4 linked regions of the Xenopus tropicalis genome follow. The protein of the gene in region 1 interacts with the protein of each later gene in a biochemical or structural test. Links are inferred from orthologs where the notes say so. Each region holds a gene or a part of one and is shown in the gene's direction. Other genes may lie near its edges.

Evidence for each region.
Region 2: the proteins of pafah1b1 (region 1) and nudc form a complex in vitro, tested with the Homo sapiens proteins (3 studies listed by BioGRID). The link is inferred for Xenopus tropicalis from reciprocal best matches to the Homo sapiens genes PAFAH1B1 and NUDC.
Region 3: the proteins of pafah1b1 (region 1) and ndel1 form a complex in vitro, tested with the Homo sapiens proteins (3 studies listed by BioGRID). The link is inferred for Xenopus tropicalis from reciprocal best matches to the Homo sapiens genes PAFAH1B1 and NDEL1.
Region 4: the proteins of pafah1b1 (region 1) and dcx form a complex in vitro, tested with the Homo sapiens proteins (2 studies listed by BioGRID). The link is inferred for Xenopus tropicalis from reciprocal best matches to the Homo sapiens genes PAFAH1B1 and DCX.

The regions. Positions count from the first base shown.
Region 1 is NC_030678.2:47,815,675-47,821,175, forward strand, and holds the start of pafah1b1 (lissencephaly-1 homolog), read left to right. Parts: upstream 1-2,021; 5' UTR 2,022-2,307; intron 2,308-5,501. UniProt on the Homo sapiens protein: Regulatory subunit (beta subunit) of the cytosolic type I platelet-activating factor (PAF) acetylhydrolase (PAF-AH (I)), an enzyme that catalyzes the hydrolyze of the acetyl group at the sn-2 position of PAF and its analogs and participates in PAF inactivation.
Region 2 is NC_030678.2:77,788,742-77,793,814, forward strand, and holds part of nudc (nuclear migration protein nudC), read left to right. Parts: intron 1-140; coding exon 141-218; intron 219-991; coding exon 992-1,186; intron 1,187-1,271; coding exon 1,272-1,328; intron 1,329-1,471; coding exon 1,472-1,600; intron 1,601-5,073. UniProt on the Homo sapiens protein: Plays a role in neurogenesis and neuronal migration. Necessary for correct formation of mitotic spindles and chromosome separation during mitosis. Necessary for cytokinesis and cell proliferation.
Region 3 is NC_030686.2:49,765,252-49,770,324, reverse strand, and holds part of ndel1 (nuclear distribution protein nudE-like 1), read left to right. Parts: intron 1-2,113; coding exon 2,114-2,287; intron 2,288-2,920; coding exon 2,921-3,012; intron 3,013-5,017; coding exon 5,018-5,073. UniProt on the Homo sapiens protein: Required for organization of the cellular microtubule array and microtubule anchoring at the centrosome. May regulate microtubule organization at least in part by targeting the microtubule severing protein KATNA1 to the centrosome.
Region 4 is NC_030684.2:51,680,410-51,685,482, reverse strand, and holds part of dcx (neuronal migration protein doublecortin), read left to right. Parts: intron 1-3,272; 5' UTR 3,273-3,292; coding exon 3,293-3,656; intron 3,657-5,073. UniProt on the Homo sapiens protein: Microtubule-associated protein required for initial steps of neuronal dispersion and cortex lamination during cerebral cortex development. May act by competing with the putative neuronal protein kinase DCLK1 in binding to a target protein.

The DNA.
Region 1 (5,501 bases):
CTCACACACATACAGAATACTGACTCTCTCACACACACATACAGAATACTGACTCTCTCACACACATACAGAGTACTGACGCTCTCACAGAGTACTGATTCTCTCACACACATACAGAGTACTGACTCTCACGCACACACATACAGAGTACTGACTCTCACGCACACACATACAGAGTACTGACTCTCTCACATACAGAGTACTGACTCTCTCACATACAGAGTACTGACTCTCTCACATACAGAGTACTGACTCTCTCACACACACATACAGAGTACTGACTCTCTCACATACAGAGTACTGACTCTCTCACACACACATACAGAGTACTGACTCTCACGCACACACATACAGAGTACTGACTCTCTCACATACAGAGTACTGACTCTCTCACATACAGAGTACTGACTCTCACGCATACAGAGTACTGACTCTCACGCACACACATACAGAGTACTGACTCTCACACATACAGAGTACTGACTCTCTCACACACACATACAGAGTACTGACTCTCTCACACACACATACAGAGTACTGACTCTCTCACATACACATACAGAGTACTGACTCTCTCACACACATAGAGTACTGACTCTCTCACACACATAGAGTACTGACTCTCTCACACACACACAGAGTACTGACTCTCTCACACACATACAGAGTACTGACTCTCTCACACACATACAGAGTACTGACTCTCTCACACACATACAGAGTACTGACTCTCTCACACACATACAGAGTACTGACTCTCTCACACACATACAGAGTACTGACTCTCTCACACACATAGAGTACTGACTCTCTCACACACATAGAGTACTGACTCTCTCACACACATAGAGTACTGACTCTCTCACACACACACAGAGTACTGACTCTCTCACACACATACAGAGTACTGACTCTCTCACACACATACAGAGTACTGACTCTCTCACACACATACAGAGTACTGACTCCCAACCTCTCACACACATACAGAGTACTGACTCTCTCACACACATACAGAGTACTGACTCTCTCACACACACATACAGAGTACTGACTCTCTCACACACACATACAGAGTACTGACTCTCTCACACACACATACAGAGTACTGACTCTCTCACATACACATACAGAGTACTGACTCTCTCACATACAGAGTACTGACTCTCTCACACACATAGAGTACTGACTCTCTCACACACATAGAGTACTGACTCTCTCACACACACACAGAGTACTGACTCTCTCACACACATACAGAGTACTGACTCTCTCACACACATACAGAGTACTGACTCTCTCACACACATACAGAGTACTGACTCTCTCACACACATACAGAGTACTGACTCTCTCACATACAGAGTACTGACTCTCTCACACACATAGAGTACTGACTCTCTCACACACATAGAGTACTGACTCTCTCACACACACAGAGTACTGACTCTCTCACACACATACAGAGTACTGACTCTCTCACATACAGAGTACTGACTCTCTCACACACATACAGAGTACTGACTCTCTCACACGCATACAGAGTACTGACTCTCACACGCATACAGAGTACTGACTCTCTCACATACAGAGTACTGACTCTCTCACACACACATACAGAGTACTGACTCTCTCACACACACATACAGAGTACTGACTCTCACGCACACAGAGACAGCTGTCACACAGGGGAGCGCAGGAATTGCACAAACAAACTCTCCTTTCACGTGAACGCGAAGGGCAAGCATGCTCCCTCTTCCGTCATAATGGCGCCTGCGCTCTCCGCCTTCCCTGCGTCATTTGCCTTTGTCATCCCTCCCCATCTCTCCCCCTCCTCGTCCACGCCTAGGCAGCCGCCGCTAGGGCGCAGGCGCGGTTCCCGATTAAGCAAGCCCACTCCCCACAGCCGGCCGGTCGCTCCCTCCTCCTCCTCTCCTTCAGCGGTTGATATGACGTCACCGCGCTCCTGAGCTCCGTTTCGCTGACAGCACGGTGGCGGCGGCGGCTTCCCTGAGAGCCCCGGCGGAAACCACGGAGAAGAAAGGGAGGCACGGACCCTTAGAAAGGAATAGCTGCAGAGAAGACGGATTCAGTGCAATTTGACAGGAAACAACGTACATACAAGCGAGCCCCGCCGACCTCCACACCCAAGCTCTTTATTTTTATTTATTTGATTTCTTGTCACCTCGTCAGGCTCTAACTGGGAGCCTCATCCCCCGCCCTTCCAGAGACCTTGCCCAGGGGAGCTGCCCGGCGGCCATGAGAAGAAATCCTTCTCCCGCTGTGTGCTTGGGATAACCCTGCACGGTAAGTGCCCGGCTAGATCACCGGGCGGGAGAGAGGCGGGATGCAAGGCCTTGTCTGACGATGTGGCTGCTGCTGCTGCTGCCGCCGCCTCCTCCCCTCCCTCCTTCATCTTCTCCTCTCTCTCACTTTCTCAAAATGGCGGCCAGCCGTTACTGTTCCTAGCCCGCAGGGGGGTGGAACAGGAAAGCTTTAGGCAAGGATCTCCTGCTTGCACCTTCCCAGCTGTTTCATGAGCTGCTTCCCCCAGTCTTCTGCTTGGAAGGCTTATAATAGGGGTGCTTGTGGGTGTTGTTTGTGGAGGGGTGGGGGTGCAGTTTGCCAGATCATCGCTTTAAACAAGACGCCTTAATGGTACATTACAGCAACATGCCTACTAATGCTGTAGCTTGGCTATAAAACCTGCACCTCCTGCTATTGCAGAACCATTTTTCCCAGCTGTCAAAGGATGGTGGGAGTTAGAGTTCAGCAGCAACTGGAGAACATAGGGTAGGGCGTCTTTGACATCACAATCAGTGAATCCTCAGACATGTATATGCTATAAGCATCAAGGGATGGTCTGGTACCCCCACTTGTTTAGAGCTGCAGGTTTGATGTCTGTTGTGCCCTTGATTAATGATTTACTAGCCCTTATTTATATGATTCTTTGCTGCAGTGATGTGTGTGTTTGTGGCCTACTAATTGTCGTTGAACTGCAACTTTCAGCCAGCTGTGCCTGGGGGGCACATGAATGTTTCTGTGGAAATGAATTTCAATTTCACTTCTGTGTCATAAATGCATAGTTTCAGTTAAAAGCATATAATGTGGATTCAGTTGATTCATTTGATAAGCCGTTTACTAATAAAAGGACTTTCACCTTAACGAGATAACTGCTGTGTATCAATTTAACTCGTGTGTGGCAGGGGCATTCCATGTTTGTACACGCCCGCCCCCGCACCTTTTCCAGTATTATGTTATTTTTAATTCTTCCTGCAACATCTTGCTAACGGGGATGTCTTCACCATCTGGACAAGGCTACATCTCTAAACAGCATTACATAAGGGCCTCTTCTTGTGCGGAACATCAAGAAAAACAGGGGGGTGGGCCTAGAAGTGACATTTGTCATCTTTTGTGTCATGCAAGTGCTGCCATTTAAGTCTTCTGACATATAACTTTTATAGTTGAGTGCTCACATCATGATAACATTCATTTACATTGTCATGCCCTGGTGTCTCCAAGGATAGGGATGATGGGTTAAGTCCATAAAGGGCTATGTGTATTATGCGATGCTGTATAGGTGTGTACATGTTGCAAGTCAGACACTTGAAAGGCTTGCAGCAAGAGTTGGGATTGACACATGGGAAATTATGATGGCTGAAACTAATGGTAATTACCTGCACTAGTCATCCGGATACAAATGTTTCATACTTATTTTGTAAAACATGGGTATCTTTTCTCCTAATGTTTTAGCAGATCAATAAGTCTGCTATAAATCTGACATCCATTCTCTCATTTGGTTTTCTAAAGGTGATAAGTGCTATTTTTCTTTAAATCCATGCTTTGTTATTTCTCTAGAAAAGCTGTTTTTTTTTTTTAAATCTCTGTCATGTGTGCCTATGTAAGGCATTCAGATTAACAAATGAACAATATATTGCTTACGCCAGGAATTTTAATCATGACTAGGCATTTGTAACCCTGTTTTATTTTATTTTTTTATGGGTTGCGTGTTCATCTTTGAGTGCTGTAAAACTGCCCTGTGTTTGCATGTTGCTGATGGTTCTTGTGCAATTTATCCTTAACCATTAGTATTCTGGAAGAGAAAACATAGTTTCTATATTTCTATCTCGATAATTAAAATATTTATAATATAGATGTGTGTGTTTAGATGCTTCCCAATGTGTTCAATTGGATAGAAGCGATTTTGTTGTTTGTCTGGTTTTTTTTTTTTTTTTTGGGCTCATAATAAAGGATACTGCGCACCGCCGTCAAACAGGGACAGAGAGGAAACTGGGTGGAGTAAGGAGGCAGAGGCGATGCTTTGGCTCTGCAGCTCTGCTAAAATAGTGTATTTGGCATCATTCAGGATTACACAGCTTCACAGTACCAAATTATGTGACTAAATCTGAGCAATTAAGAAACTGAAAATTTCTTTTAAACAAAGCTTTTGCTTTTTTTTTTCTTCTATACACTTGTTGAGGTTTTACTTTATATAATTAATACTATCAGACAATTGTTTTATATTTTATCTTGTTTATGTGGAGAATAAATATTTATTGTTTTATTTGTCTGGTGACAGTAAACTCTCCACAGTGTTTTAAAGGGATTCTAGCATCTCAGCCTGACTAAAATGTCACTATATAAACCTTAAGTTTTGGGTTGAATTTGAGCTATTTAGTAAAACAAAAAAACATTGTTTACTTCCATTTTCGTTATCAGTGGTGAAATGTTGCTTCCTGGATATCCAAATGCTTGGACTTTACAACAAAGGCTCTGTAAAACACCATATACCCACATTGTGACATTTAATTGCTGAGATATTTTTATTACTTCTGATTTCCTCTGCATCAATTGCTTGGTTAAAGGTATGTTGCCAGATTATCCGTGAACTTTTACAGTTCATTAAATGTTAGGATATTTTATATTAGTATATTAGTAATGGAATGCTCTGCATTGTTACTTTACATAGAAGGGTTAACATTTTGTATACACTAATACCCTATTTTCTACTTTTGCTTTACAGAAAGCTTTTTTTAAAATTTCTGTCCAGGAGTGACAAACCCTTTACCCAGTGGTTTTAATGTGGTTTATCCTTACTCTTTTGTTTTCTTTGTTTTTATTTTTTTAAATAAAGCTCATTCTTTGTCTTATGGAAAGCCACTCCTACAATGCAGTGCCTGATTAATGCTTTGAAAGTTGTTCTATCATTGCATCTTTAAAAAGTTATATTAAATATTATCTGTATAGTATAATAGTATAAATTGTTATCAAGCTGGTATCTCAATATTTTATTCAAATATAAATGTACTAATTGCTGTTAAGCAGCTATAGTATGTATTTGATTTTCATGGGCATTTAAACTTTTTTCTTGCTTTCGGCCATGTTACATGCATTCTGGTTTTGTTGACTAGCCCTGCAGCACATGCCATGCTAGAGGCTAGTGATTTTTAAGATGGGCATTGTTATATAGGTGTGGCATTATTCACCTGGCTGTTATTCCA
Region 2 (5,073 bases), about 30 Mb from region 1:
GGGATATCGGGGGAAGATCCGCTCGCTTGGCGATCTCGCCAAGCGAGCGGATCTTACCGTGTATGGGGACCTTTAGATTTTCAAATCATCTTCCTTTATTGCAGATCTAATTTCTTTGTTTTTTTTCTCTCCCTCTAAAGTTGGTAAACACATTCTTCAGTTTTCTGAGGCGCAAGACTGACTTCTTTGTTGGAGGAGAAAATGCTGCAGCTGAAAAGGTGAGAAAGAGCTGAACAGTTGTTCACCAAATTTTTGCAGAAATGCATTATATTCGTGTTGAAAGCAAGGTTACAAAAACAGATGAAGCCAGCTAATATGCTCTTTCAATATACAGTATGTTGGCTAACTCATCAATACACAGCATGTTAACTAGTTCAGTCTGTTCTTCATTAGGTTTCTTATCTGGCCTCCACATCTATGATTACATGTATACTCCTTGTTGACCTATAATTTTTTTCCAGATACTCAAGTTTGATACATTGTCATTTGTTTGATATACGATGTGACTAGTTAGTTGTTCCCTGGAGAATGTTTTTCTATGTATTCTTTTTTTTTTTTTTTTTCTAATTTCTGTTATAATCAGTTTGTTAGAACAGTTTCTCCACAGGGGGCAAACCTACATTATGGTTTGTTGATAAATGTGGCAGCAGATTCTCAGCAACACAATAATGTTGTGAGAAAAGCTGTTGATAAACAGGCTGATGCGAGTTGCCTACTCCAAATTGAGCTGAAAGCCTGTTGGTCTATGTATGGGCCATAACCATGGCCGGCCTGTTGTCTATTGGGCAGACTAGAAAATCCAAGGACAGCATTGGGCTTTTAATTTGATTGTTGTCACTGTGGGACAGTTGAATGGATAAACCCAACTGACCAAGTGGTCAGTTTCAGCAAAGGGTTTCCAAAATTTGTTTTTTCTCTACTTACATGTTTCTTTCCCTTTAATGCAGAGATATACTGTGTGAATGTACAAATTATTTTTTTTTTTCTACAGCTCATCACCCAGGCCTTCAACCACCACAATAAACTAGCTTTAGCAGCTCAGAAACAGAAGGATGCTGATCGTCTGGAGAGAGAGGCTGTGAGGCAAGAACGGGAAGCCAAGAAAAAAGAAACGGAAGCTGGAGAGTCCAGAATCACAGAGCTCACTGATGAGGAAGCAGAGAGACTACAAAAAGAAATTGATAAGGTTAAACACTAGAAAATGAGAAGCCATCACTTATTATATTTCCAGCAGTGCAAATATTTTTAAACATTTTTTTTTTGATTTGCAGAACAAAGAGAAAGAGAAGGCAACTAGAGAGACAGAGGAGAAACCAGAGCCTGAGAAGGTAAGGTTATAAACAACAACAAATAACTGTTAGGAGAAACACTGATGTGCTCTTGGAAAAATATGATCAATGTAAAGTGATGTCTCAGCAATAGTGAAGGAGGAGAATAATAGGCTGTGATTGCTGGTTTTTGTATTCTGTAGGATGGAGAGGAAGAAAAGGAGGAGGAGGAAGAAGATGATGAGAAAGATAAAGGAAAGCTCAAACCAAATTCAGGAAATGGAGCCAACCTTCCTCATTACCGCTGGACACAAACCCTCTCTGAGGTTGATGTAAGTGTTTGTAAAGAATGTTGCTAAATATTTAGTCGCGTGTGATGTCCATAGAAAGAGCCTGGACAAAGGGAACTAAAAATTTTACCTCACAATTTTTTTTAGTTTGTTTTGTGGATTTTTATAGATAACTTTCCTACCATTTTAGCTCCAATACTTTATTCTTAAACAGCTGTCAGACACAGTGGTTTCAGACATGCTGTTTTCCAGACTGGTGTCCTAACATTAATCTATGTGCATATATATGCTAAAGACCACTGACACAGAGGAAATGACAGCAGTTACACCACTGACTGGGCAACCAGCTCAGTATTGCATGAGGAGAGGTTTTTTTATGCAAAATCTGCTCTTAGTATTGTTTGTTATTCCTGTACATCTGAGTTTTTGTTTAGATTTGTGGGGATGAATAATTGTTTTTGGTGTTTTTCCTAGTAAAAATGTGACAGATTTTTTTTTTTTTTACAAGGGGAGAGACTGAACTACCTACTGTGACCCTCCATAGATCTTAAAGGAGAAGGAAAGGCTAATAAAGAGTTAATCTCAAGCTGGGAGTGAGTTCTTAGCATTCTTGAGGGAGGGGGGAGCAAGAGAGAGGAGACAGCAGAAAGCTGTGTGTCTCTGGCACAGGAATTACCAACACAAGAAATCTTTTCACAGAGAAGTCAGTGCAGCGTTTCTGTGAGTGCTTATGGCTGTATTTACATAGACCTTTCTGATAAAGCTTACTTAGTTTTTACCTTTCTTTCTCCTTTAAAAGAGATACTGACAACAGAAATCTAACCATTTTTACATCTGTCTTAACATTGTCTTTGCATGTTTTTTTTACTTAAAAGTATTTGCTCGATGCGTTTACATTCCTGATCCCCTATGTTCCTCTATGAGGGGGCTGCCATATTTGTGCAGCAGTAGTCCTTTAGCATTAGAAACTGTTAAAGTAGAAGGAAAGGTAAAAACAAAGTAAGTTTTATCAGAAAGGTCTATGTAAATATGCCATAAGCACTTACAGTAATGCTGCAGTCCTCTATGAAAAGAGGCACAGGATTTCTTTTCTCCTATTTTGTACACGTTCTTAGGGTATCTGACTTCCTCTCTCAGAAAAATCCTTCATACCCAGGCCAGAGTCTGAGCAGTTCTCTCCCATAAGAATTCATAAAACCCACTCCCCCCACCCTTAAGAATGCGTAATCTAAACTATAACGGCTAAACTGCAAGCAGGAAGCTATGAAGATCAAGATAAAATGGCAGCTGCAATCTTAAGCAAACAGTGAAAACTTCTAGGGCTCTCTACTCGGGTATAGTAAAGCTTTCTGCAGAATAAATATAGCATTCCAAGTGGCACTAATGTGGTAAATCTATTGGTAGTAAAATGCTGAAATGACTGTCCCTTCTTAATCTGCCATTTAAAGCAGAAGGAAAGTCATGTTGGCAAAAGAGTCAGGTTTAGGAACTTCCAGTAACAATTACTTACAAAAGCAGCCCTATCAGTGAAAAACAATCAACATGACCTATAGGTAATATTTAATGTACATTAATATTTTGAAGAGCAGTTTTTTTAGTGTCAGTATCACTTTAATAAGAGATTACAGATCTGGCAATCATCCAGGTATATGTTTAAGCCAGGCAGAGTGTTCGCACTTTGGCATGCTCATTTCTGCTCATAGAAGCACCAATATTTGCAGTTCCATTAGTTTCCAAACAAACTGCATAATGATTAGTTCATATGTGGACCCCTATTTTGGTTTGGATGATCAAACCACAAAAATTAATGTGGAAGAAGAACTGATTAATTATATGTTACTAAATATGTTGTTATATGCCAAACCATACAACTTATTGGGCCAACAACTGTGGTGAGCGATTGGACCAACCAACATACAGGATGTTCAGTTGGATCAGAGCAACATGGTCATCTGTGTGGGTGAAACAACCAACTAGTCAACCTATGGTAACTGTTGGATATCTTGTTATTTGGCCCATTAGAAATCAGCTTTATGTGAATTTGGATAAAGTTGTTGAATAGCCTTACATACTAGTAAAAAAGTAATTTTTGTATTGCTCCCTCCCTGGAGGTAAGGAGCTGACCTGAAAGTTGGTTCAGGGTTGTGTCTCACTGTAACTGGATTTGGTTGGGTCTAATTTAGAGGCTTTACGTGGCCGGGTCTCTTGTGCTTTACATGCTTTTATTACAGTGTTCATCTGGTTGCACGTGGAAGCTAGCATGTTCAGCAGCAGTTAAACAGCCAAAGGCTATTTATGCTATATCTTAATAGTTCTAAAAACACAGTTAAAGGAGAAGAAAAGGCTAATAAAGTGTTAATCTCAAGCTACAGACATACCTTCAGTTCTCTCAATAGTGCCCCTTAAGTCTCTCCATATTTTCCTGTTCAGATGATCTGAAGCGTCATAGTAAAAAGAAATGCTGAGCTCTGTAAACAAAATTCCCATAATGCCAAGTTCCTGCACCAAGACCAAGACCCATGTACATGTGCAGTGTGTAAGACTATGAGGAAGCTTCCTGCTGTATAGCTCAGATCACTAATTCCTAAGGGAGAGGGGAGCATAGACTCTGGCATAGGAAAAAAGGAGACAAGAAATCATGTGTTTCTTTTGATAGAGAACTCAGTGCAGCTTTTCTGTGAGTACGTATAGCTGTATTTACATAGACCTTTCTGATAAAGCTCACTTCGTTTTTACCTTTCCTTCTCCTTTAACGAGGAAGCATTTTGTTTTCTAAATTCTATAGCTGTTTATGCAACTTTATGCAACTTTTTGCAAACTGCTGATTAAAGGAATACTGACAGTATATAATTTCAATAATTTCGTCCCCAGGACCTGATAGCCTGGTGATGGTACCTTTTTGAATTGCTGTATTTTCAAAACTAAAGCAGCCTGAAAATGTTAGCACGACTTCTTAAGTAGAGCTTTAGGCAGTAAGGTTACTGAATGCAAGCTCGACTACCTAAGAAGAGCTTAATGCAGTAGGGTTACTGAGAGCAACTATAGTGAAGAACAACCAAAAACCCAACTTCTGGTTCTGCATAGGCACTGTGGATTGACTCCTGTCTAAAAGTTTAGGGGATGTAGTCTCAAAATTATACTGACTAGCAAAACAATGTACCACGTCCAGAACATGTGGCATATATGAAACCTTGTACCCCAGGCTGGTGCCCCTGTTCGGAGAGAACAGCACCAGCCTGTGGTACCTGTAGCGCTTCCTCCTTCCTGCCTCAGTGCGCGCGCATGTGCAGTAGAGTGAAAAAGCCGAACTTTAACAGAGAAGTCGGCTTTTCACTCTACTGCGCATGCGCCTGTCGTTTAGTCCTTGCAAAACGAAGCCAGAAGGAGGAAGCGCTCAGCTACAGGTACCCTGGGCTGGTGCTGTTTTCTCCTAACAGGGGTACCAGCCTGGGGTACAAGGTAAGCGTAAGTCACTTGGGGGTGCCTAACATTTTGGCACCAAGTGACTTAGCCTT
Region 3 (5,073 bases), on another chromosome or scaffold:
TGCAAGTGTATATGTACGGCGGGGGTGTATATGTGCAAGTGTATAAGTACGGCGGGGGTGTATATGTGAGTGTATATGTACGGCGGGGGTGTATATGTGCAAGTGTATACGTACGGTGGGGGTGTATATGTGCAAGTGTATACGTACGGTGGGGGTGTATATGTGCAAGTGTATATGTACGGCGGGGGTGTATATGTGCAAGTGTATAAGTACGGCGGGGGTGTATATGTGCAAGTGTATATGTACGGCGGGGGTGTATATGTGAGTGTATACGTACAGTGGGGGTGTATATGTGAGTGTATACGTACGGCGGGGGTGTATATGTGAGTGTATACGTACAGTGGGGGTGTATATGTGAGTGTATACGTACGGCGGGGGTGTATATGTGAGTGTATACGTACAGTGGGGGTGTATATGTGAGTGTATACGTACAGTGGGGGTGTATATGTGAGTGTATACGTACGGCGGGGGTGTATATGTGCAAGTGTATACGTACGGCGGGGGTGTATATGTGAGTGTATACGTACGGCGGGGGTGTATATGTGAGTGTATACGTACAGTGGGGGTGTATATGTGAGTGTATACGTACGGCGGGGGTGTATATGTGCAAGTGTATACGTACGGCGGGGGTGTATATGTGAGTGTATACGTACGGCGGGGGTGTATATGTGAGTGTATACGTACGGCGGGGGTGTATATGTGAGTGTATACGTACAGTGGGGGTGTATATGTGAGTGTATACGTACGGCGGGGGTGTATATGTGAGTGTATACGTACAGTGGGGGTGTATATGTGAGTGTATACGTACGGCGGGGGTGTATATGTGTAAGTGTATACGTACGGCGGGGGTGTATATGTGCAAGTGTATACGTACGGCGGGGGTGTATATGTGCAAGTGTATACGTACGGTGGGGGTGTATATGTGCAAGTGTATACGTACGGTGGGGGTGTATATGTGCAAGTGTATACGTACGGTGGGGGTGTATATGTGCAAGTGTATACGTACGGTGGGGGTGTATATGTGCAAGTGTATACGTACGGTGGGGGTGTATATGTGCAAGTGTATATGTACGGCGGGGGTGTATATGTGCAAGTGTATAAGTACGGCGGGGGTGTATATGTGAGTGTATATGTACGGCGGGGGTGTATATGTGCAAGTGTATATGTACGGCGGGGGTGTATATGTGCAAGTGTATAGGTACGGTGGGGGTGTATATGTGCAAGTGTATAAGTACGGCGGGGGTGTATATGTGCAAGTGTATATGTACGGCGGGGGTGTATATGTGAGTGTATACGTACAGTGGGGGTGTATATGTGAGTGTATACGTACAGTGGGGGTGTATATGTGAGTGTATACGTACAGTGGGGGTGTATATGTGAGTGTATACGTACGGTGGGGGTGTATATGTGAGTGTATACGTACGGTGGGGTGTATATGTGAGTGTATACGTACGGCGGGGGTGTATATGTGAGTGTATACGTACGGCGGGGGTGTATATGTGAGTGTATACGTTCGGTGGGGGTGTATATGTGAGTGTATACGTACAGCGGGGGTGTATATGTGAGTGTATACGTACGGCGGGGGTGTATATGTGAGTGTATACGTACAGTGGGGGTGTATATGTGAGTGTATACGTACAGTGGGGGTGTATATGTGCGAGTGTATACATACGGCGGGGGTGTATATGTGCGAGTGTATACATACGGCGGGGGTGTATATGTGCGAGTGTATACATACGGCGGGGGTGTATATGTGCGAGTGTTATACATACGGCGGGGGTGTATATGTGCGAGTGTATACATACGGCGGGGGTGTATATGTGCGAGTGTATACATACGGCGGGGGTGTATATGTGCGAGTGTATACATACGGCGGGGGTGTATATGTGCGAGTGTATACATACGGCAGGGGTGTATATGTGCGAGTGTATACATACGGCAGGGGTGTATATGTGTGAGTGTATACATACGGCGGGGGTGTATATGTGTGAGTGTATACATACGGCGGGGGTGTATATGTGCGAGTGTATACATACGGCGGGGGTGTATATGTGCGAGTGTATACATACGGCAGGGGTGTATATCATGGCTGTGCCCTTATTATTTTGCGCAGACTTGAGGCAGGAATTAGCCGTACGGGAGAGACAGACGGACGGCACGAGGAAATCGGCCCCCAGTTCGCCCACTCTGGACTGTGATAAAACCGACTCGGCCGTGCAGGCTTCTCTCTCCCTCCCAGCGACCCCCGTGGGCAAAGTATCCGATAACAGCTTCACCCCACCCAAAGGTTGGTCTGGTTTCTGCGCCGCCGCAAAGGGGCTTTCCTTCATCTGCGGGGGGGGCAGGGTATTTAGTGGGCGTCCCCCAAACAAACCATAATTGCCCCAGTGACGGCAAGTACATGGAATGGGACTCTCCGCATCTCCGGGGTGGATTTTCCCTGGTTTGTTTAGGGGAATCCCTGTAGAGCTGCAGGCTTCTCTCTTTAGTATGTTATAGAATGAATAGGGTTTAGTTCCCCTTTAAAAACCCCAAGAAGCAGCTGAAATTTACTGAAACGGGATTTCCTTTAGTAAGATGGAGTGCACTGACAGCTGCTGCTAGGGGCCCATATCACTCCTTACCGGGGCCCGGGGGGGTAGCTTTGCTCTGCATATCCGGGTCTCACAGTAACAATAGATATTGAAGGGTTAGTTCCCCTTTTAACTTTTTATATGATATTATGGTAAACATTGATATTCTGAGATAATTTGCTATTGGTCTTCGTTTTATATTTTTATGGTTTTCCAGTTATTTAGCTTTTTGTTCAACAGCTTTCCGTTTTAGCAGCTATCTGGTTGCTAGGGTCTTGTTTATCTAGCAACAAACTGGGTGCCAGTTAGCGCATGTGGAGTGACGCCATGTTTCCTTTCTGTTGCAGGGATACCAAACGGTTTCGGAACAACGCCACTTACACCTTCTGCCCGAATATCAGCACTTAACATTGTAGGGGACCTGCTGAGGAAAGTCGGGGTAAGTAATTATGGTGGAGAAGAACTTTTAAAGGGGAACTAAACCCTGCTGCACGGCTCAAACTAACGTTACTCAGCTGTTGCCGGACTACAAATCCCAGAATAATGTAACATATAATAAAGGGTGAGGCATGCTGGGAGCTGTAGTCCAGCAACATCAGGGCTGTATTCTTAAAGCAATATTGCCCAATACAGGTCCTTTTCAAAAAATTAGCATATTGTGATAAAGTTCATTATTTTCTGTAATGTACTGATAAACATTAGACTTTCATATATTTTAGATTCATTACACACAACTGAAGTCGTTCAAGCCTTTTCTTGTTTTAATATTGATGATTGTGGCATACAGCTCATGAAAACCCAAAATTCCTGTCTCAAAAAATTAGCATATCATGAAAAGGTTCTCTAAACGAGCTATTAACCTAATCATCTGAATCAACTAATTAACTCTAAAAACCTTAAAAAGATTCCTGAGGCTTTTAAAAACTCCCAGCCTGGTTCATTACTCAAAACCGCAATCATGGGTAAGACTGCCGACCTGACTGCTGCCCAGAAGGCCATCATTGACACCCTCAAGCAAGAGGGTAAGACACAAAAAGAAATTTCTGAACAAATAGGCTGTTCCCAGAGTGCTGTATCAAGGCACCTCAGTGGGAAGTCTGTGGGAAGGAAAAAGTGTGGCAGAAAACGCTGCACAACGAGAAGAGGTGACTGGGCCCTGAGGAAGATTGTGGAGAAGGACCGATTCCTGACCTTGGGGGACCTGCGGAAGCAGTGGACTGAGTCTGGAGTAGAAACATCCAGAGCCACCGTGTACAGGCGTGTGCAGGAAATGGGCTACAGGTGCTGCATTCCCCAGGTCAAGCCACTTTTGAACCAGAAACAGCGGCAGAAGTGCCTGACCTGGGCTACAGAGAAGCAGCACTGGACTGTTGCTCAGTGGTCCAAGGTATGTCATTCGGAAATCAAGGAGCCAGAGTCTGGAGGAAGACTGGGGAGAGGGAAATGCCAAAATGCCTGAAGTCCAGTGTCAAGTACCCACAGTCAGTGATGGTCTGGGGTGCCATGTCAGCTGCTGGTGTTGGGCCACTGTGTTTTATCAAGGGCAGGGTCAATGCAGCTAGCTATCAGGAGATTTTGGAGCACTTCATGCTTCCATCTGCTGAAAAGCTTTATGGAGATGAAGATTTCATTTTTCAGCATGACCTGGCACCTGCTCACAGTGCCAAAACCACTGGTAAATGGTTTACTGACCATGGTATTACTGTGCTCAATTGGCCTGCCAACTCTCCTGACCTGAACCCCATAGAGAATCTGTGGGATATTGTGAAGAGAAAGTTGAGAGACACAAGAGCCAACACTCTGGATGAGCTTAAGGCCGCTATTGAAGCATCCTGGGCCTCCATAACACCTGAGCAGTGCCACAGGCTGATTGCCTCCATGCCACGCCACATTGAAGCAGTCATTTCTGCAAAAGGATTCCCGACCAAGTATTGAGTGCATAACTGAACATAATTATTTGAAGGTTGACTTTTTTTGTATTAAAAACACTTTTCTTTTATTGGGCGGATGAAATATGCTAATTTTTTGAGATAGGAATTTTGGGTTTTCATGAGCTGTATGCCACAATCATCAATATTAAAACAAGAAAAGGCTTGAACTACTTCAGTTGTGTGTAATGAATCTAAAATATATGAAAGTCTAATGTTTATCAGTACATTACAGAAAATAATGAACTTTATCACAATATGCTAATTTTTTGAAAAGGACCTGTAAAACTTTCCCCCAATGAGAATCCCAGCTGATGTGAGTAAATCCGGCTCCCTGTTCTCTGTTCCTGCAATTGGAGTTGGGAGCAATAAGCACAGTTTCCCAGCACTGAACAAGTCTGTCCCTTTAACAACCACTTTAACTCCTAGCCCCCCCCCCCCCACTCAGACCCCCCCCCCTTCCCCCCAGGACGCTGCATACTGGGAAGTAACTTTTGCTTTCTCTTCCCCCCCCAGGCCTTGGAATCTAAATTAGCGGCATGTAGGAACTTTGCCAAGGACCAGGCGTCTCG
Region 4 (5,073 bases), on another chromosome or scaffold:
TTCCAGATCCCATTGACAGAAGAGAGACTGAATAAGCCATTAAAGCACATTTAGTGGGGCAGCATCTGATTTGGGTGGGGGGTATTAGTGCCATTTACCAGGCACAGTAACAGCAGCCATCAGAGACTTGAGTCGCATTTCCATGTAGATTGTGACAACCTGACAGTTTGATTTCACCCTGCATTATAGAAGCAGTAATTATATACTGTGTGTCAGGCACATGAGGGGTTAAACTGCAGATTGGGGGAAGGAAAGGGTCTTACTCCAGAGAGGCGACAGACAGAGAATGGAATTATGCTCATGTATCTCAGACTGGTTGTTAAGGTAACAGCCCCAAGGGGAGCAGCTAGCGAATCTGTGAATTACAGCATGGGCTGGTACGGGGGAGTCTTCCTCAGCAGACAGGCATAGAATGGTGCATTTCAATGAGACATAATGATTTGTGGTGAATTCAGATTATTAATTGATATTATTTATGTGGCAGATTGACATTTAAAGTGGTTTGCTAAACCCATCATTTATGCAATCAGAAGCACTACTGCACAAGGTAGCGCAGGCATAGCTTACTAAAGAATGCCAATAATCTCACTGAGTGGGATCTACTATGGAGACAATGAAGTGTGCAATGCAGGAACAGGTGTGGGTTTCTCCTCTCCATATCTGTGTGTATCGGAACATGTTCTCCCCCACCCACCTTGCACAGTAAAATGGGAGGTTTAGGGTGGCCTGAAAACATGTGCTCCATGCAGTGAGAAAATGGGAGAGGCCAATTGTTACAGCAGTTTAACCCCCAGAGGCAGCTCGGTAGCATTATGTCTGTTTTATTGCTGCCACAGTTATATGTTTAAATGTGAATGGTAAGGCATGAGCTATCTGTGCCATGCTGGCACCCCCTTCCCACTGCAGATCAATGACTGGTCACTGCCTCTAATGTCACTGGATTTCACTCCTGGCTTAGGGTTGCCATTGTCTCATTTGTGGCAGCAGAAGGACAGCATTATACTTAAATTTGACTTGCTAATCCCCAGTGGGATTCGGTTGTGTGTAGGAGTGAGTGGGTGTGGACAGGCTTGGTGCTGCACATTATTGATCTGTAATCCTTTGTTAGTGCGTCCTGCAACTGAACATATATCCCACTGATCTTTACTGCTGTACAGGCACTGATAATTGGCTGCTGGGCAGATCAGTGAATGATTTTATTTTTTTATTCGATGGCTAATTAATGATTGTAGAGTCCAAATCTGTCATCTATAGATCTATCATCTATTGCTCATCTGCTCATGGTCTATTTATATATAATGACTATATCTATCTATAACTATCTATCTATCTATCTATCTCTATATCTATCTTTCTTTCATGTAGTCTGTCAGTCACTTGCTATTTGCACAACTTATGTGACAGTCTTTGCACGTTAAACCTTATTACAATGCCGCATTATTAAATACATTAATCATTTTCAGATTTATAATGAATGTAGTGTATTTCCATTCTATATACACTTCTTTTGTGACACCTGTACCTCCAGTAAATGTTCTTTTCTCGCCGGAATGTACACCATTTTTAATGCTGATCATAGGCAGGTCCTCCTTATGCAATTTATATTGCCTTACCCTGGCAATATGCTGACCTCCCCACCTCTGGTAACAGGGTTTTTGTGGGATATGGCATGTGGTAATTGCCTTCGCTGTGGCATCTCTCAGCCGTGGCAACTGATTCCTTTGTGTTGACTGAGGCTGCGGCAGAATGAAAGAGATGACATCATGGCACATGTGCAAGGAATGCCTACAGTATGTATGTAGGAAATGTGCAAAAGGATTATAGAGTACACCTGCTCCTGATGGTGGAGTCACATGGAGAACACAATTGGATTTGCTTGGAAAGTAATATTGATTTAAGCAGGAAACCCTTAACACCACCCCCGCCACAAAAAAATAAAGCCCTGATTAATATGCGGCGAGTGCATTTAGATGAAAAGCCATCAATTTGTGTTAAAGAGCAACTACACCCAAACCGCTGTTTTTAGCAAAGTGAAATAAATGTAATTCTAAGCTACTTTTCACCTTGTCTACTAAAAAAACCAATAAAACATTAAATAAACCCATTAGGATTGATTTGCCTCCAATACGGATTACTTATATCTTAGTTGGGATCAAATACAACTAAGATATAATTATTAATTTATTATTACAGAGAAAAAGGAAATCAATTTGAAAAATCTGAATTATTTGATTTAAATAGAGTCCATGGGAGAAAGGCTTTCTGTAATTTGGAGCTTTCTACATAACGGGTTCCTGGATAACAGATCCCATACCTGTACGTTCATTTAAGCTCTTCAGTGGTTTTAAAGTTATCCATATATACTGTATATATATATAATTGCCCTGAAGAGCAGTATGTGTTTATCCCTTTCCCAACATTGCAGCTGGGATGTCAGTTTACATGGTCTCAGGAGTCAGAACCAACAGAGCAAAGAATATAAAGAGCCAGACAGATATTGCTTTCAAAAACTTTCAAACCACTGAAATGTATATTGGAACATTGCTTATAAATAAATATGTTTTCATTTGGTGGAACGGCTTCTTGTTCAGATTTCCTTTTCTTTGTGTCAAAATCCAAATCTTGGGGATAGAAGAGATATTTCATTATAGACAGCTGTATATACAGTATAAAGGGGAACTCCCAAAACAATAGTGCAGAAATATGTGGAGAATGTTTATAAAAAAGTCCTTGCTTGTACGGGTTGATTTCTTTCCATGACTTTCTTTGTGATGAGGCCGCCGTCTCCTTTCTCCTTAATGAGACTGAACTGATTTTGTTATAACAGAGCAGTTTGCTGCCTGACTGCATGGGAGTAAGTGGGTGTGGCTGACATACATTTAATGCCTATGTATATCCACATTTATTTTAATGAGGTCTTCCTAAGTGCACAATAGTAGCACCGTAGGGATGTTACTGCTCCAAAACAAAGCTTCGATAAATCACATCACCAAGGAAAAGCTTTACTCATCAATCTTTGATGCCCAGACAGAACAGGTTTATATGGGCTCAGGTGTTAATTCTGGTTTTTCCATGCTGCTTCGCTCAATTAGCTGGCCCAGCACTTATCTGTTAGCTCAGTACATTTACTTTGCCTATTAATTATTCACAAACTTTGAGTAACATGAGAATTTGCTGCTAAAGACTAAAAGGAATTATTTATGCTACCAGGGGGGTGGTGTTATTGTCTGGTTGGATGTTACATTTATATTCTTGGATGGATATTTCTCTAGATTTCCAGAGGAAGTGAGAAATGGAGCTTGACTTTGGCCACTTTGATGAGAGGGATAAGACTTCCAGGAACGCACGAGCATCTCGAATGAATGGCTTGCCTAGCCCTACTCACAGCGCCCACTGCAGCTTCTACCGGACCCGGACCCTGCAGGCGCTGAGCAACGAGAAGAAGGCCAAAAAGGTCCGGTTCTACCGCAATGGAGATCGCTACTTCAAGGGGATTGTCTATGCGGTGTCCTCTGACAGATTCCGAAGTTTTGATGCGCTGTTGGCTGATCTAACCAGGTCGCTTTCTGATAACATTAATCTGCCCCAGGGGGTTCGCTTTATCTACACCATTGATGGAATGAACAAGATAGCCAACATGGATGAGTTAGAGGAAGGTAAGTCCACCAAATGATTTAACAAAAAAATGCAACAACAGTTGTGTTATGACTCCTTAGTAAATGAGCCCCATTGGGGTATGGGATAATTGATTTGTCATCCTCTCAGTTTGGATGCAACATCTATTATACAGGAGTTCCATTTGCAGCAGATTTCGCAGCCCAAATGATGAATAGAAATGTTTTATTTAATGGTATAACCCTGGCAGTAAAATGGTTGGCAGAATATGTTTATCGATTGGCAATTACAAGGTTCATGTATATAAAATGGATATGGTCTTTAAAGTCATAGTGCAAACCAAATGTATTTACCTTTCCACTGCTCCGGGGGATTGGTTATTTAGAGCAACATATGATTCATTATATGATTTCTGTTTCATAGAAGAATGTACAGAATTATGTCATAATTGGCCATAAGTGCAAAAATCAGGATTTGGGGTTGACCTGGATAAGGAATGGCCATTGTCTCTGGATATGAGGTTCATCAACTTGCTAAATGCTTCGCTAACTTAGTTTTACACAAGTTCGCTCCTTGGCTGGAGGATGTAGTTAAGAAGCCAAGTGGTATTTAAACTTAGGCCTGTGATAATAATAAAACCATACAGGGATTTTGGCTGCCCCCCAAGTGCATTCCATATTTCCAATATATGACATCATATTTAATAAAGTGTGGCTCAGAGGCACGTGGATATATATGGTAAAACTAATCCAAGTCATTCAATGGAAAATGTTGCAGTGCTCTAGAGTAATTCTATACATATGGACTTATGGCAGCCCTCCATCTCACTAATGTGAAACAATAGCAGGGAATAAAAAGTCTTCTACAAGATACGTCAGTCTTGGAGATTGTTGAGGACCCTAAAATTAAAAATTCACCCACAAATGTATTTAATTAGAGGTCCCTAAGTATTCCCACAAGCCCATCATTGGATAGAGAATACAGCATACCTTTCAACATTTTAGAAACTGAAAAGCGGGACGGCTGTTCTGAACAAAAAGCCACGCCCCCTTAGTTTACATGTCTGCCCTCAAAAATACGCCCCTTTTTACGTCATGTTTGCACGTACAGCCTTACAAATTTGCCACAGGTCTGAGGTCTGTGAATATGAATTGTCAGCCATCTATAGACTTTCTGATAATGCTGGACATTTAATAGGTAATCCAGGACTGCGTGCAGCCAGCATAAATTCGGGACTGTCCCGCACAATGAGAGACACTTGGGAGGTATGATACAGGTATACATATGGGTATAAATATCCTAAAGTTCTCCCATAGAGTTCATTAAAGCAAATAACTTGTTTTTTCCTTTGGAATAATAAACCAGTACTTTGTACTTGTTGGTCACTAAACTGCATGGATCCTATTGGGTTTCTTTCATGTTAAAATTATTTTTAGTAGAGTTAAGTTATGGTGATCC